Linked DNA regions of Bombyx mori. The protein of the gene in region 4 purifies or fractionates together with the protein of the main gene of each other region. This does not show direct contact. Links are inferred from orthologs where the notes say so. Each region holds a gene or a part of one and is shown on either strand. Other genes may lie near its edges.

Region 1 (2,294 bases), on a different chromosome or scaffold from region 4:
TTAACAAACGTAATTCTGAAGACTGTTAAAGCACCATAAACGGCCATATTTAAAATCTACATTTACACACTAACGAGACATATATACCGGGGGAATTAATTTAATGTTCATAAGTTCTCACACGTGAGGTTCGTTTCACTGTTTATCCTCTTGCAACACTTCTATCTTCGTTACATCACCGAACGTCTCCACCTCATCTGTAATTTTTTACGCGAAATATAAATACGGGTGACTCGCCTATAACACGGTACCCATAGACACAGCCCACTGAGTTTCTCGCCGGATCTTCTCAGTGGGTCGCGTTTCCGATCCGGTGGTAGATTCTGCGAAGCACTGCTCTTTGCTAAGATCAGTGTTAGCAACTCTCCGGTTTGAGCCCCGCGAGCTCACCTACAAATGTTAGGGTGAAGCTGAAATAGCCTCTCAAGGCTATCAGGTAAGGCAGGGAAAAAAAAATTACACGGTAGATACGTTCCTACAAAGTTTCCTGTTTTGCGAAACCGTATTATGACACTAGAAGTCAGTACAAAAAGGACAGTAATTTAACAATGAAACATCTCAACTACGGGCTGTATGTCATGTATTATTTTACATATTATACATAAAAAATAAGCAGAAAAATTGCGGTTATTCCCATATAATATTGTGTGTTCATAGTGCGTAATGTAATTTTATAAATAATTTTAATCAATTAATTTATCATTAAAGTTGAAATTTAAACAAAAAAAATATATCGAGGGTTGCAAGACTATTATAACATATGTATATAAAGGTTTAAGCGACATTTCGAATTTCCATTATTAGCATCAAAAGACGATATTTTTAATCAAATTTCAATTAAGAAGAATTCGAACGCCATTGAAATAGCTGAAGTTTTTTTTTTTATTTTTTTTTTTTTAAGCCTTATTAGCTTCCTGTACAGTTGCAAAAATGTCGCTTCAACCAAATGACCTTTCACCCCTCGATATGTGTAATTGTTGTCAAATTGTGACAAGTGACAGTTTTACTGACGGTAGGCCTTGTGGGCCCGCACGGGTAGGTACCACCCTGCCTATTTCTACCGTGATACAGTAATGCAGTGGTCGTCGGAACTTATACCCTTGAGGCCGATATCTCAATCGACTGCGCCTTCGCAAGAAAATTTGAATATCGAAAAATTGGAAGAGAGAAAGAGAGAGAGTATTCTATATAGTACACAAAAAAAAAATTAAACAATGCGAAACATTAGATAAATAAAAAAGTACAATAGGCGGTCTTATCGCTAAGAGCGATCTCTTCCAGACAACCATCAGGTGGACCAAGTTGGTTTCTATCTTTTAATATTTATAATATTTTAGTACGAAAGGATTAAACATTGCAATTATATTGCAATTATATTGAATTATGTTGAATTTATGATTGATTTATATATTTAATTTATAAACTATTTTGGCAGAATAAATGTATTGGTTTTAGAAGTCAATTTATAAATAAATTAATTTATATAGATAGTAATTTATATTTTTGATTTATTAATAATTGTAGTTGGGATAATAATTTTAATTCTAGACGTTTTAATTGGGGTTGCTTTTTTAGGTTAAATTGTAAGTCTGTTCGTTCTAGAGTCTGTGGTCGGTGTCCGCACTCACGTGTGCCGAGCGGGGGGCGGGGGCGGCGCTCTCAGTCGTCGCGCTGCACGTGGCGGCGCTGCAGGGCGAGCGCGAGGTCGTGCTGCAGCGCGGCGGTGCGGCGCGCCACGTCCGCCGGGATCACTGACCTCAGCCCGCTCACTATATCTTTTGTTTTACCTACAAAACAAAATCATCACCTTCAGTGTCTTTTTTTATTTATTGCTTAGATGGGTGGACAAGCTCACAGCCCACCTGGTGTTAAGTGGTTACTGGATCCCATAGACATTTACAACGTAAATGCGCCACCCACCTTGAGATATAAGTTCTAAGGTCTCAGTATAGCTACAACGGCTGCCCCACTCTTCAAGCCGAAACGCATTACTGCTTCACGGCAGAAATAGGCGGGTGGTGCTACCTACCCGTGCGGACATACATGAGGTCCTACCACCAGTAATTACGCAAATTATATTTTTGCGGATTTGGTTTTTATTACACGATGTTATTCTTTCACCGTGGAAGTCGATCGTGAATATTTGTAAGTACATATTTAATTAGAAAAATTGGTAACCGCCTGCGGGATTCAAGCATCGGTGCATCGCTAGATATGAATGCACCGGACGTCTTATCCTTTAGGCCACAACGACTTCAAAGAGTCGCAGTCTTCGCAGAGTCCTTGACTACTTC
Region 2 (4,440 bases), on a different chromosome or scaffold from region 4:
TTTTGAATTTTTTTTCTCTGTGCTGCAGACATTCCAGCATGATACGCTTCAGCGATATAAGACATTCTTTTCCTTTTTTTATTTAGTTTTTCTGTAGAATATTTAACAGAAGTTTGCAAACATGATCTCAAGACTGCTGCAATTCTTTCACATTCATCTCTTCTTATGCAATATACTATAATAGAATTGAATGTAGTTATCTTTTCTGACATTATAAATGATATTAAGCCTTTGTCTCTATCTTTCTCAAATGAAACTGTTAAATATAGATTATCTGGCAATGTTGGATTAGTTATCACTCCTGATGTCCCATCAGGTATACTAATATGCTTTATGATGCTTTTTATGGTGGTTTGTGTCGCGGTTGCTGTCAGTCCAAGGATACATTTTACATTCAGTCTTTCTCTCAATACACGACAAATCATTAAATAACTTGGTCGGAAATTATGACTCCACTGAGAAACACAGTGAGCTTCATCTATACATGCAAATGCTATTTGAGGCAATGATCTAAAGAGACCAGTTAGTCCATTAGAATTATCACTAGATATTAAAGCTTCTGGAGATATCAAAAGAATACTTATTTCTCCATCCTTTAAACATTGTATAATTTTTTGACGTAGTGTTGGTGGTTGATTGGTATGCAAACAGCCAGCCTTTAAAAATTCAGGCATATTCAAAACCTGGTCCTCCATTAGAGAAACAAGTGGCGATATTACTAATGTAATGCATTTGTATTTCTTTCTATACATATAAGCAGGTAATTGATAACATAGTGACTTGCCACTGCCAGTGGACAAAATCAAAAGTGTGGACATGCCACATAGAATTCTCTTTATAGCCTTTTCTTGTCCTGGTCGAAATTGATTGTGCCCAAATTTTAATAAATCTTCTTGTAGCTCATTATCATTCACTTCATTGTAATTTGGATATAAAGGTTTAACAGTTCCACAATTTGGGTCTGCTTTGGTTTCTAGCATTTTTATGAAATTTTCAGGAATTTGGCTTGGAGTGTAAGCTATGTTTAGTTCCTCAGTCAAAGTTTTAGTTTTACTATTTTCTCCATAAGCTAATTTTTCCATGTCTTCCAATGTAAGCATTTCATTTTCATCATAGCTCTCTAAAGGTAGTAGACCTTCAGCTTTATGTATTGTGCAGTATCGTGCCATATGCCCAGCATTACCACATTTAAAACATTTTATTTTCCCAGCTTCTGGAAACTCCATGGAAGCATGTAAAGCTTTTTTGTCTTTCCATTGTTGTTTTTTATATTTTGAAAAGTTAAAACTTTTCTTCCCTCTGACAAAAACTTTTTTTTCAATATTAACTTTTACAAAATTATCATTTAGAGTCCCTAGTTTTATTTTAGTCTGCAAATTATCAAAGCCCTCTGAGTTGTTGTCATTTGATGTTTTGGGAGGTTTAACAGTTTTTAATATGTTAGATACTTCTGTGTGACGAGGTACTATGTCATTATCTAAGCTAAACATAACAAATTCAGTTATATCTGGAAGCTGCTGGTCATCATTTGTGGCATTACATTTGCTTGATAACACTTTTACTCTACTTTTATCATTTTTTGAAACTCCAGATCTTTTTCTTTTTCCACAATTATTTGTTTTAGAGAATGATGATTTTAATTTGGTTTCAAAGCTGTCCAAAACAATTACACCTTCATTGGCAGCAGGTTCAATTTCTTCAATTTTTCTTTTCTTAAGGGCTGGCTTTAGTTTATCAAGTGTATTCTCATCTTCAGAATCACTATTTTCTACAAAATCTAAATATTTATCATTACTTTGGGTTACTGTGTTTAAATTTCTGATGCCAAACTGTTCAGATGTAGTTGCTTTACAGAAGGTGCCTGTTACTGAACTTGGACCAACTGCTCGCTCTATCCATGCTTGATCAAGTTGCCTGGTGTTTTGAAGAATGTTATTTTGATTAGCCAGCAAATGTGTCTCTAAAGGATTGGTTTTAGTAACTTGGGTGATGCTTTCACTAGTTGTGTAGTTGTGTGTGATTTTTTTTATGTGTTTAGTTCCATCAACAATATTTTTATCACCATCATTTTTTATGATAATAGTAGTATTCTTTACTTCATTTTCCAAAAAATCTTCATTTACTTGTGTAATTGAATCATGTTCAACAATTTTGCCACCGATATTTTTTAAGTTGGTATCAGCTTGTTTAATTTGATTTTTTTTAACTGAAACTATTTTTCTAGGATTCCTGAGAGTAAATTCTCTGTTAACAAACAGCTTTTTGGATAAATTTTCAAGGCAAGGCAGAGATTGATTGCGTTGTGTTTCAATGTTTAAGGAAAGTGGAACGTTTGATAGTAATTTTTCTATTTCAGCACCATTAGGTAATTCTGGAATTTTGGCATCCGACGGCGAACTAGTATCCTGAATTGAGTATTCAACTTTCTCATCGAATGGTTCAATGAATGAAGAAAACTCATCATCTATTTCACAAACAGTCAATGAATTTTCCAAAGCTGAACTTTTTAATTGAAAATACTTTTTATATGCATACTTTATATTAGGTGGAGCTTCTTTTATGTCGAATTTTGATGGTGTCCGGGAATGCAAACTTATGAAAGATTTTTCCCACTTCTTTACAGTTAACTTACATTTGAGGTAAGCTTTATCTTTTTTAATACTTTCAATTACGTTCATCGTTACGGTACAACACTGATTGACTACTTGGTGACTACGTTTTTTTCATCTTCAATCTTCAAGAATCTTCAACCATTGAAATTACAAAATATTACAATTATTAAATACACTCGTTTGACCAATGATGTTATAGTAAAGAGTCTTTTTACTATAACATCATTGCGTTTGACAGTTTACCGCGGATTTCTATTTTTTTTTAATTTAATGGCGTAGTAACAAGACCTTTGAGTCAAATCTCATTAATTTAATCTGTTTTTGAAAAATTATATGAAGCAAACAATGGTAGTTTTCCAATTACAGAGCATAATGCGACTCAGTGATGCACAATGCCGAATTATGCTAAAGCTTAATTGGAACGTGAATGAGTTTTCAAATGCATCAGCAGAGTGCGCTAAGTTAGCACAGTTTTAATTAACATTGATTATTTCTAAGATACTACGACGAAACGAAAGCCTTACAATTTTTTTCAACATTAAATAATATTACTAACGATAACATAAACAAAATTTCGATCAATGCCAACTTAAAGAAAAAACACTTGTCCATTTTCTGTCACTGAGTCGGTAACGATTGCGAGTATCACGCGAGAGCAGTACTTTTGAGAGTGCTCGATTGTGCGAAGCGTTGCTGTAGTTGGAACATTCAACGTTGAGCATTATGCCGCATAATGCGCTCTAGTGCTGTAATTGGAAAACTACCAATGACATTAACTTGATTTAACTTGAGACTCTAATCAATTCAGTGAATCAATTGAAATGAAATTAAATGAAACGAAATGAGATGAGATGAGATGGGATGGAATATTCTCAATAAAATGGTGGTTATTTATTAAGTCCTTTTCAATAACTTTTTAAATGAATCTTGTTGTATTTTGTTTCCTTTTCCCACATTTGTGCAGTTTCACAGATATTCTTTTTTTTTCCTACCTATGCTGATAGCCTTAGGAGGCTATTTCAGCTTCACCCTGACATGTGTGGATGAGCTCACGGGGCTCAAACCGGAGTGTTGCTAACACTGACCCTAGCAAGAGCAGTGCTTGGCAGAATCTACCAGCGGATCGAAAACGTGACCCACTGAGAAGATCTGGCGAGAAACTCAGCGGGCTGTGTCCATGGGTTAATTTGCTCATCAAGTCCTTCGTCGCAAGCGATGGGTTCGACGAGGACGGTGACCGGTTCGCAGATGCTAACCACTTTCTAATAACAAAAAACGTCAAACGTTACAAGTTACATTTAAACAAAACCATTCTCACGCCGCGCCGCAGGTGTCGGCGGAAGGTCAGCACCGCAGTACGGTACCGATAGAGGTGCTACTTTTGGGCATTGCTGAGCCGGGAGCCAGTAAACTTTTCGAAGCCCCGTTTATTTTTTGTTTTTCGATATATATATTTTTTTATGGTTGGAATAGATGTTTATGATTTCCTATTAATTACTGACTCAGCTAAATATACTGGCAAAGAGCATGTAAGTGAATCGCCTGAGTTTTCACACATAAGAACCATTACACCTAAAATACAATAAAATTCTAATAAGTATTGTCATCTTTATTTTTACACAATTAGATATTGAATTTTTTTAATTATTTATTTTATACAAACAAATGGAATTACTGCGAAACAATTCGTGAAATATAGCTTAATATTCAGAATAAATATTTTAATGAATTTTACCTGCCAAGTTATTTATTTTACTTAAATTAATTTTTAATTAAAAAACAAGTGTCTGTTAAATATAAAATATGGTGGAATAAGTTTCGTGTTACT
Region 3 (4,298 bases), on a different chromosome or scaffold from region 4:
TTAAAGCAGATGGAGTAGAACTAAATCCATTCCTTGTTTATTACTCACGAATATCAGCCTTATTGAATCAAAAATATTATGATACCAGGTTTTATCATTGTGATTTATGGAAATTCAACCTCAAACCTTACAATAATGTTGTAATATTTGGTGTGGAGCAAATGATGCACGATATAGAAAATAAAATTTTAGATGAAACGCAAGAGCGCACAGTAGTGGTCGCGTGTCGATTCCCATTACCAACAATGGTGCCTGTAGAAACTATTGGACATGGTGTAGACACTGTTTGGAAATATGAAGTAAAAATCAGTTAAGTTGCAACAAATTTATTTACTTAGATATACAAAATAATAAACAGTTTTTATTTTAGAATCGACCACTTCTTTTTCTTCCTGTGTATTTAGTGTCAGGTTTTGTAATTTTGCCCTGTTTCCTTCTTCGTTCTTTCTTCTCCAAAATCCAGTCTTTTGAGTTCTTTATAGGTTTTCCTCTTATCCCTTTTGTAGCTTCTCTTTTAGCATATTTAACTTGAAGACTGTCTGGTTCTTCAGTACCTGTAATACAAATTTTGATTTTATTATATAAAAAAGTGGGTTTCATCATTTTTATTAGCATCACACTATAGTATTATTTTAATGTGATATAATTTTATGATATATACAACATTACCTAAAGCCTGAGGTAAAGGACCAACGCCACCAGTCATTAAAACTAAAAAGAACTTCTTTGCTTTGGCAGAATTTGGATAGTCAATTACAACTCCTCCATAAAAGCCAGCTTTCATTGCCTGTGTCGTTAGGAGTTCTAATTGCTTCTCATTCTCAGGGTAAAATTGGAAGACAGCTCGAGCAGACCTTGACTGAAAAAAATAATAATTGAGTTTTTGTATTGAATAATAAATAATACCGTTTTCATAGTTAACTTACCAAACTTGAATATAAAGTGGTGAAGAATTTGTTTAGTCTTTTCACTGGATTATGAGTTTTCTTATCAGCATTAAATAACCATTGTATAGCTGATACGGATACTGCTCCATCAAAGCAACCTGCTCTAAACGGGACACCTTCACCCATATCAGCCAGAACTAAACCACCTTCAGTGTCTCTCTCTACAGCAACATCTACAACATAGACATATTATATATAGTGTAATTTAAGAACCAAAATACTTTTTTGGGCTTTAGGAAACAAGGATATATATCAAAAGGTGAAAGGCTATTCTGTTTATGTGACATTACAAATGCTATTTATTTGGTATTAGTATCTATATTTCAATATTTTTAGTTGAACATCAATTATGTTTACTACTTTCAAATAGCTGAAGAAGCTGTTTTATTATGATTAATTTTCCAAAACTTAAATTTAAAATGGTTCTTCTATAAAATTACAAAAATGTCACTTCAACCCAATAGCCTTTTGGGTTTTAATTTTGTCAGGTTATAATTTGTTCTCTTTCAGTTATTAACAATCTTTATAAGTAGTGAAAACTGAGAAAAAATACAACACCTAAGGTACAAGTCATGTGTCTTATTATGTCTCATTATGTGTCCAATTAAGTCTAGTATCGACTAGGCTACTTTCTGTGGCCAGATGACAAAAATATTTTTTACCAAGCATTGAAGATGATATGTCCATCCCAATCCACATATGTCCATTTTCTTCTAGCACTGTACCAGATAATCCTGAACCACATCCAATATCCAACAACAAGCAAGATGAATCTTCCGGTAATAGAAGTAATTCTAAGCATCTCTCAGTCATTTGTCCTTGGATTTCTATGATCCTGGAGCTAAAATAATCAAACACAATTTTTTCTCAAAAAGAGTTAATAAAAAAAGGAAAGACATTTTTGGAATTAGGAGGGAAGCATTCAGATTGTTCATAATCCAGATCTCACAAATAGTTAGGTTTTTCCTGGATTGTACAATAAACCCCATGCTCAAATGAATTTGGCAAATATTGTCCAACTAGTATCATTAACATTGTAGTACAAGACAATCATTCTTAGCATTTCTACATTTATCGCTTCCTACCTATTCTAGTAACCTTGAGGAGTTATTCCAGATTCACTGAATTAGTAGGTGAGCTCACCAGTCCCAAACTACGACGTTAACACTAGGGTTAGTGTTCGTGTAAGTGCTAGGGTTAGCAAGAGCAGTGCTTCGCAGAATCTACCACCGGATCACAAACGCAACCCACTGAGAAGATCTGGCAAGAAACTCAGTGGGCTATGTCTGTGGGTTAATTTTGTCGCCGAGCCCTTCGTCGTAAGCGACGGGTTCGTCGAGAAACAGGTACTTGTTTTTACTTGAAGTTTGAAAATATCTTTAGTTGCAGTTTAAATATAAAACATTACTGTAGTAAATAAGTAACAGGGGCCATTTAATTAACATTAGATGGGTTGATTGCCTGCAATAATGGTTTCTATTGTAAACTTTATACAGCACTTTACTATTTTAAAATGTAGTATTAAGCCCCCCGAATTCCCACACTAATGAAACTGTAGGACGTTAGACATGGGAAGGTTGTGGATTTTTGTGGTTGTGCTCATTCACCACTATCGCCCACTTACATTATATTTTGGGTTACAACAATTCAGAGACAATTCCATTTGTGCCACCATTAGCAAAAAGGTTAGTATTCGCAATACCTTGTTACTTTTACTTACGTACTTTTGTGTATACTTTCTAGCCTCTTCATCATTATAAAACTAGAACAAAAATAATTCGAATAACAATAGTGCCTTTTTGTTCAAATTTGAAACAATATATTTACATTAGCTTATACTCACAACTTCAGGCGGTGCCTGGTGTTCTGGTCTTTTTGACATCTTACATCAATATAAGGATCACTTTCAAATCAATCAAATTTAAATGAACCTAGTGTTTAGTAAGTATCTACATATGTATGTGCTCGTTAATAAAATGATTTTATGAACTAGGAAGTATGTAGCTTTTTAAAATAATAAGTGTAAAAACTACTTATCTACGGCTTGCTCCACAGACTTAAATATATTTAGTATTGAGTCATTTTACCACTTATAATATGTAGCATTTGACGTTGTCACTTGTCAGTTTTATCTTCATAGTGAGGTAGCCTGCTTAAAAACATCGTTTAATGTGAATAAATCGATACGAACTTGAAACATATTATAATGTGAATTTTTATAATCATCAGGCGAATCCCTGTTCCATTATTATTTTTTCTTTCGTAAATTTAAAGAGCAAAATAAGACAAATACATAATTTAACAAAAATATTACATTTATTCAGTTGAACTATCAGAACTGTTATTAGTATTGTCATCTTCATCACTGCTGTCAGCACTCCGAGATATTATTAATTAATTTTCAATAATATTGTCTATTCTCACATCTCGTTCAAAATCGTATAAAATTATTTTCTTTGTTTTCTCTACGACTTTTCTCCAGTCTTCTATAGTGACTTCTGCACACGCAATTTGTAGCAGTCATCATTTTAGCAGTACTGAAGGGTGGTTCAGTATTGTTCTGCACTGCATGAATATCAAGGTTACTGATATTCATTAATAAAATAACACATTTATTATTACATTTTTATTGTCATTATGGTTTTTAGACAAGGTAACATTTATATTAATATGACAATTTTTTAAATCTAATCAGGGAATTTTTATGCGTGGAATGAGCGCGCCGGCGCCGGCGCGCTCATTCCACGGTTCATCTCAAATATTAAGTGTATTATCTATGGTTCATCCGTTATTAAGCTGACCAAATAGAATAGTCTAATGGATTAGAATATACATACTTTTATGTAATCAAATAAAATAAAATGAACTATTATATATTTTGTCAACATAATAAGATTCATTTTTTTTTTTAAATAAAATATTGCTCTGTTACTTTTCAATGTAACGATTACCTGGCAAATTTTCCTATCATTACAATAAAAAAAATCATTTTATCATTTTGTGTGTTGTAAAATGGCTACTATAGACAGTAATTGTACGGTTTCCAGGTATGTAAGGTGATAGCTGCCCTTTATAAATAAAACAAATGAGGTCCAATTTTACTCCGTATATTGTCACAAGTGTTTGCGGCGTCACAAGTGTCGGGCCGTCTATGTACGACTGACTATAAGCGATGGACAACCGCATGCGCTACTCCTTACAGTATTAGTGATGGTGATGGCCCACCTACTCCAAAAAACCAAAGACTCAGGAAGGTGAAAATAAAAAAAAATATATAAACAGAAATTTCGTTCTGAATGGTTAACTAACAAGGACTTTTCATCTTGGTTAAGTGAGCACCCGACTGATACA
Region 4 (3,759 bases):
ACCCACCTTGAGATATAAGTTCTAAGGTCTCAAGTATAGTTACAACGGCTGCCTCACTCTTCAAGCCCAAACGCATTACTGCTTCACGGCAGAAATAGGCAGGGTGGTGGTACCTACCCGCGCGGACTCACAAGAGGTCCTACCACCAGTAAAATACATATTATTATACATCTCCACGGCGCCGTGTAGTAGGCATTAAATGCTTAAATGCATAAAATGAACTTGCTTATCATCATTCTTATTAAGTGTGAATAATTAGACCATTAGAGACCTACAAACACCAATTTAGAAGTACCTTGTTCCAGACTTCAGTGTGGATAGTTAGATCATTAGAGTGCTACGAACATGAATTTTTAAAAATACCTTATTCCAGAGTCGTTCTTCTCCTCGGTAGCAGTGTCTTCTTGACTGCTGGCCATGGGTAGTGAGACGTCGCCGATGGGCTCTATCTTGATGCTGGGACAGCTCGGGTCCGCCTTGAGGACCTCGTCTAAGTTTTCAAGTTTCTCCTCCGTCATGTCTACTTCCATTTCATTCTGTGTATAACAAATTTCAAGGAATTTAGAGGATTGGATTTCCTTTGTCGAGATTCCGATCTTTTTTTCCCCTACCTATGCTGATAGCCTTGACAGGCTATTTCAGCTTCACCCTAACGTGTGTAGGTGAGCTCACGGGACTCAAACCGGAGTGTTGCTAACACTGACCCTAGCAAGAGCCGTGCTTCGCAGAATCTACCACCGGATCGGAAACGTGACCCACTGAGGAGATCCAGCGAGAAACTCAGTGGGCTGTGTCTATGGGTTAATTCGCTCGTCGAGCCCTTCGTCGCAAGCGATGGGTTCGACAAGAACGGTGACCGGATTCCGATCTGGTGAATCAACACAGCACTCATTTTGCTAAGGCAGATGTTACTGATATCTCGGCTAAGCTCCGTGAGCATACACATCCAGTGAAACTAGAATAGGCCTTCGAGTCTATTGCCAATAGGTAGGAAAGAAAAATGGTCCTTATTAAGACCATGAATATTCAACACCATAATACTTTTTTTAGACTGTCTTATTATAATGGACAGATAAAACGTTAACTCGCACGTTATACTGAAACAATTAAAATCAGCGGATGCAATTTTTTATTTCATTAACGCATGATTTAATTTCCACCGTAATTGAAAACTCAAAACGTTTGTTAATTTTATGTTAATTTGCAGTATTTTATTTATTTGATACCATCGACTTAAGAGCTACTAACAAAAAAATCAATTGACAGTGTATCGAGTTAAGGGCATTGTAACGAGACTGTACAGGTCATTACGGATCGTTCCGATCCACTATCGGTGTTTTTAGGTACCTCAAGCCCCAGTCATCGTTCTCGTCGAACCCGTCACTTGCGACCAAGGGCTCGGCGAGTAACTTAATCCACGGACACAGACAGCCCACTGAGTTTCTCGCCGGTTCTTCTCAGTGGGTCGCGTTTCCGATCCGATGGTAATTCTGCGAAGCACTGTTGCTAGGGCTAGTGTTAGCAACGTCATTAAGTTTGAGCTCCGTCAGCTCACCTAATTGTTAGGTTACGCTGATATAGCCACTCAAGGCAATCAGCTTTAAAAAAAGTAAAAAAAGAGACTGTACAGTTTGCACTTACATCGGCAGGCTTCAGTTTCCTGTGCGATGAGGCTCGTTTCTTGGGCCGCGAAGGCACGTGTTCACTAGAATTAGTTTCCGATTTGGACGATTTCTTTACTGGACGAGTCTGTTTACGTTGGTTCCTGTAGATTTTACCTGGAGAACGATAATCTGATTCTTAATTATAATGTTATTGCGGGTGGACATTTTGTATGAATAAGATGTATTGTAATTATTTGAGTAATTTCAAAAGTGTCGTGGTCTAATGCTGAGATGCTTGACTTATTTGTGCCGATGTTCTAATCTCGCAGGTAGGTAAAAATTATTGTGAGGAAATTTTCTATTTTACCTTTCTGAGAACGGACTGGACAAAGGGGTATAAACGACTGTCACCATATAGGAATAGCTTCTAAGTAGAACTTAATTACTAGTGTTAGGGTGTGCTTTAAGCTCGCAAAGGTCGTATGTTCCGGTTTGAGAGGTTATATTGCAAATCTGAACTCACGTGTCAAGGTTAATGGCGGCATTAGTACAACAAATCAAACAGTTCTTTCTAGAAGGATTTGAGAGGGAAAATAGTAGAATCTAATATACAAAAGCAAATATCAGTTGGAATAGGTCAGTGTGTGTGTGAAATATTCCCAAATTGATGATGAAAAATATTGGCTATCGATAATAACAGTTCCACTTACTCTGCTGTTTCCTCCATTGCTTTTTACCAACAAATGTATCTTCTGTGGTAATTGTCAGGAAGTTTCGGTCTCCTACTTGTAATGTACACGGCTCGAACACATTTAGCAATTTCAAGTTTTTCAGGTCGTCTCCTGGAAACAATGAATTGATTTTTAATTATAGAAAAAGCATTTGCACAGAGAGTGAGTCTGTCTGTCCAACGAGGTAACGTAGCCAGTATCTTGGGAACTGTGCCTCCTTCAAGCGCATGTCAAAAGCATTGTCACTTTTTTGGCATGATCTACGTGAAATATACATATATGTATTTTTAAATTTTAAATGGTCATTATTTTACCATCATACAACATACGGTAGGTCATTGTCGAAATTCTGAGAATTTCAAATTGGTCTCTTACTTTTGATATGCTTATTACACTGTAGTTAGAAATAAGCAAACTGACGCCACGAAGAAGACAATATAAAAACCGTTTGTAATTGTGTGACTATCGCTTTTTGTTGAAAATGAGCGAATTCTTAATTGAAAATGAAAATATTTGTGACTGTTTTTCCCTCCTACCTAATCGTTGGTAGCCTAAGGGGTTATTCCAACTACGCCCGGGCGGGGGTGACAATGGATGGATGTTAGTGATTTAAAATGTATTAAGTTAGAATATTTGAAATGTGATAAAAAACAAATGATGTCACATATATTGAAGATACATCCAACTCAGCTTTGTAGAATTTGAATGATATTTGTGTAATAAGTGCTTTTAGGTTTCCTATCGTCCACTTTGTAAGATATATCAGAACTGTTCTACAATGTATCAGCATGAGTTAAGTAACATCAATTCATATAATCAGACTCACCTTCCACGAAGAACTTCGGTTGTTGAGGAGCTCCAGTCTCTGTTGGATGAGTACAAAGGGCACGACACTGCCAGTGCACACTCACACTCTCCGTGACAACCGCTTCCACAGTAAACTGAAAAATACATATAAGGAACCATTTTTGTTTATTGGTATTTCAAAACTATTTGGGATGGATGTTGTTAGGACAGAACTTGTTTAGAACAGTTTTTTTTTATGTGTAGTATATTTCGTTACAGGAATTTGTCGTGTAGTTTTTATTTAGGCTATATAAGCTTTTTTAATATCATTGTGATTAAAATGATTTTCATGCCATCGTTTTGGTTTCAAATTATGTAATGATATAATATATCTCTAAATTAAAAACTATTTAAAAAAATATCATTATAATTTAAAAAAATGAAACTTTTTAATATAGAAAAATTTACTTACACAATAAAAAAATTTCAAACCTTATGATCATGCATCTTATGTTTTCTAGCAGCCTTCATTTCCTTAGTCATGTGCAACCAGTTGGCGTTATCCAAAGAACCCAGAGGCCCGTAAACCACTTGTCCAGGATAATATTCAGACGAAGAGTACGGCGTGGAGCGTCGAC

The links.
Region 1: the proteins of (E3-independent) E2 ubiquitin-conjugating enzyme (region 4) and F-actin capping protein beta subunit purify together in Homo sapiens (affinity purification with mass spectrometry; 3 studies listed by BioGRID and IntAct, with this or other methods). This does not show direct contact. The link is inferred for Bombyx mori from reciprocal best matches to the Homo sapiens genes UBE2O and CAPZB.
Region 2: the proteins of (E3-independent) E2 ubiquitin-conjugating enzyme (region 4) and ATP-dependent DNA helicase Q4 purify together in Homo sapiens (affinity purification with mass spectrometry; 3 studies listed by BioGRID, with this or other methods). This does not show direct contact. The link is inferred for Bombyx mori from reciprocal best matches to the Homo sapiens genes UBE2O and RECQL4.
Region 3: the proteins of (E3-independent) E2 ubiquitin-conjugating enzyme (region 4) and putative methyltransferase WBSCR22-like protein purify together in Homo sapiens (affinity purification with mass spectrometry; 5 studies listed by BioGRID and IntAct, counting the BioPlex papers as one, with this or other methods). This does not show direct contact. The link is inferred for Bombyx mori from reciprocal best matches to the Homo sapiens genes UBE2O and BUD23.

What each region holds. Positions count from the first base shown.
Region 1 is NC_085109.1:2,870,558-2,872,851, reverse strand, and holds the end of F-actin capping protein beta subunit, read right to left. Parts: intron 1,789-2,294; exon of another isoform or gene 1,788-1,788; coding exon 1,660-1,787; 3' UTR 564-1,659; downstream 1-563. UniProt on the Homo sapiens protein: F-actin-capping proteins bind in a Ca(2+)-independent manner to the fast growing ends of actin filaments (barbed end) thereby blocking the exchange of subunits at these ends.
Region 2 is NC_085117.1:12,272,127-12,276,566, forward strand, and holds the start of ATP-dependent DNA helicase Q4, read right to left. Parts: upstream 2,864-4,440; 5' UTR 2,679-2,863; coding exon 1-2,678. UniProt on the Homo sapiens protein: An ATP-dependent DNA helicase which unwinds dsDNA with a 3'-overhang in a 3'-5' direction. Does not unwind more than 18 bp of dsDNA. May modulate chromosome segregation. The N-terminal domain (residues 1-54) binds DNA Y-shaped DNA better than ss- or dsDNA.
Region 3 is NC_085122.1:5,821,045-5,825,342, forward strand, and holds putative methyltransferase WBSCR22-like protein, read right to left. Parts: upstream 3,049-4,298; 5' UTR 2,830-3,048; coding exon of another isoform or gene 2,791-2,829; intron 2,710-2,790; coding exon of another isoform or gene 2,703-2,709; coding exon 2,668-2,702; intron 1,789-2,667; coding exon 1,610-1,788; intron 1,121-1,609; coding exon 927-1,120; intron 860-926; coding exon 670-859; intron 555-669; coding exon 367-554; 3' UTR 315-366; downstream 1-314. Other genes in the region: ATP synthase subunit C lysine N-methyltransferase, read left to right, coding at 1-314.
Region 4 is NC_085123.1:4,186,294-4,190,052, reverse strand, and holds part of (E3-independent) E2 ubiquitin-conjugating enzyme, read right to left. Parts: coding exon 3,614-3,759; intron 3,277-3,613; coding exon 3,162-3,276; intron 2,447-3,161; coding exon 2,315-2,446; intron 1,794-2,314; coding exon 1,642-1,793; intron 537-1,641; coding exon 364-536; intron 1-363. UniProt on the Homo sapiens protein: E2/E3 hybrid ubiquitin-protein ligase that displays both E2 and E3 ligase activities and mediates monoubiquitination of target proteins. Negatively regulates TRAF6-mediated NF-kappa-B activation independently of its E2 activity.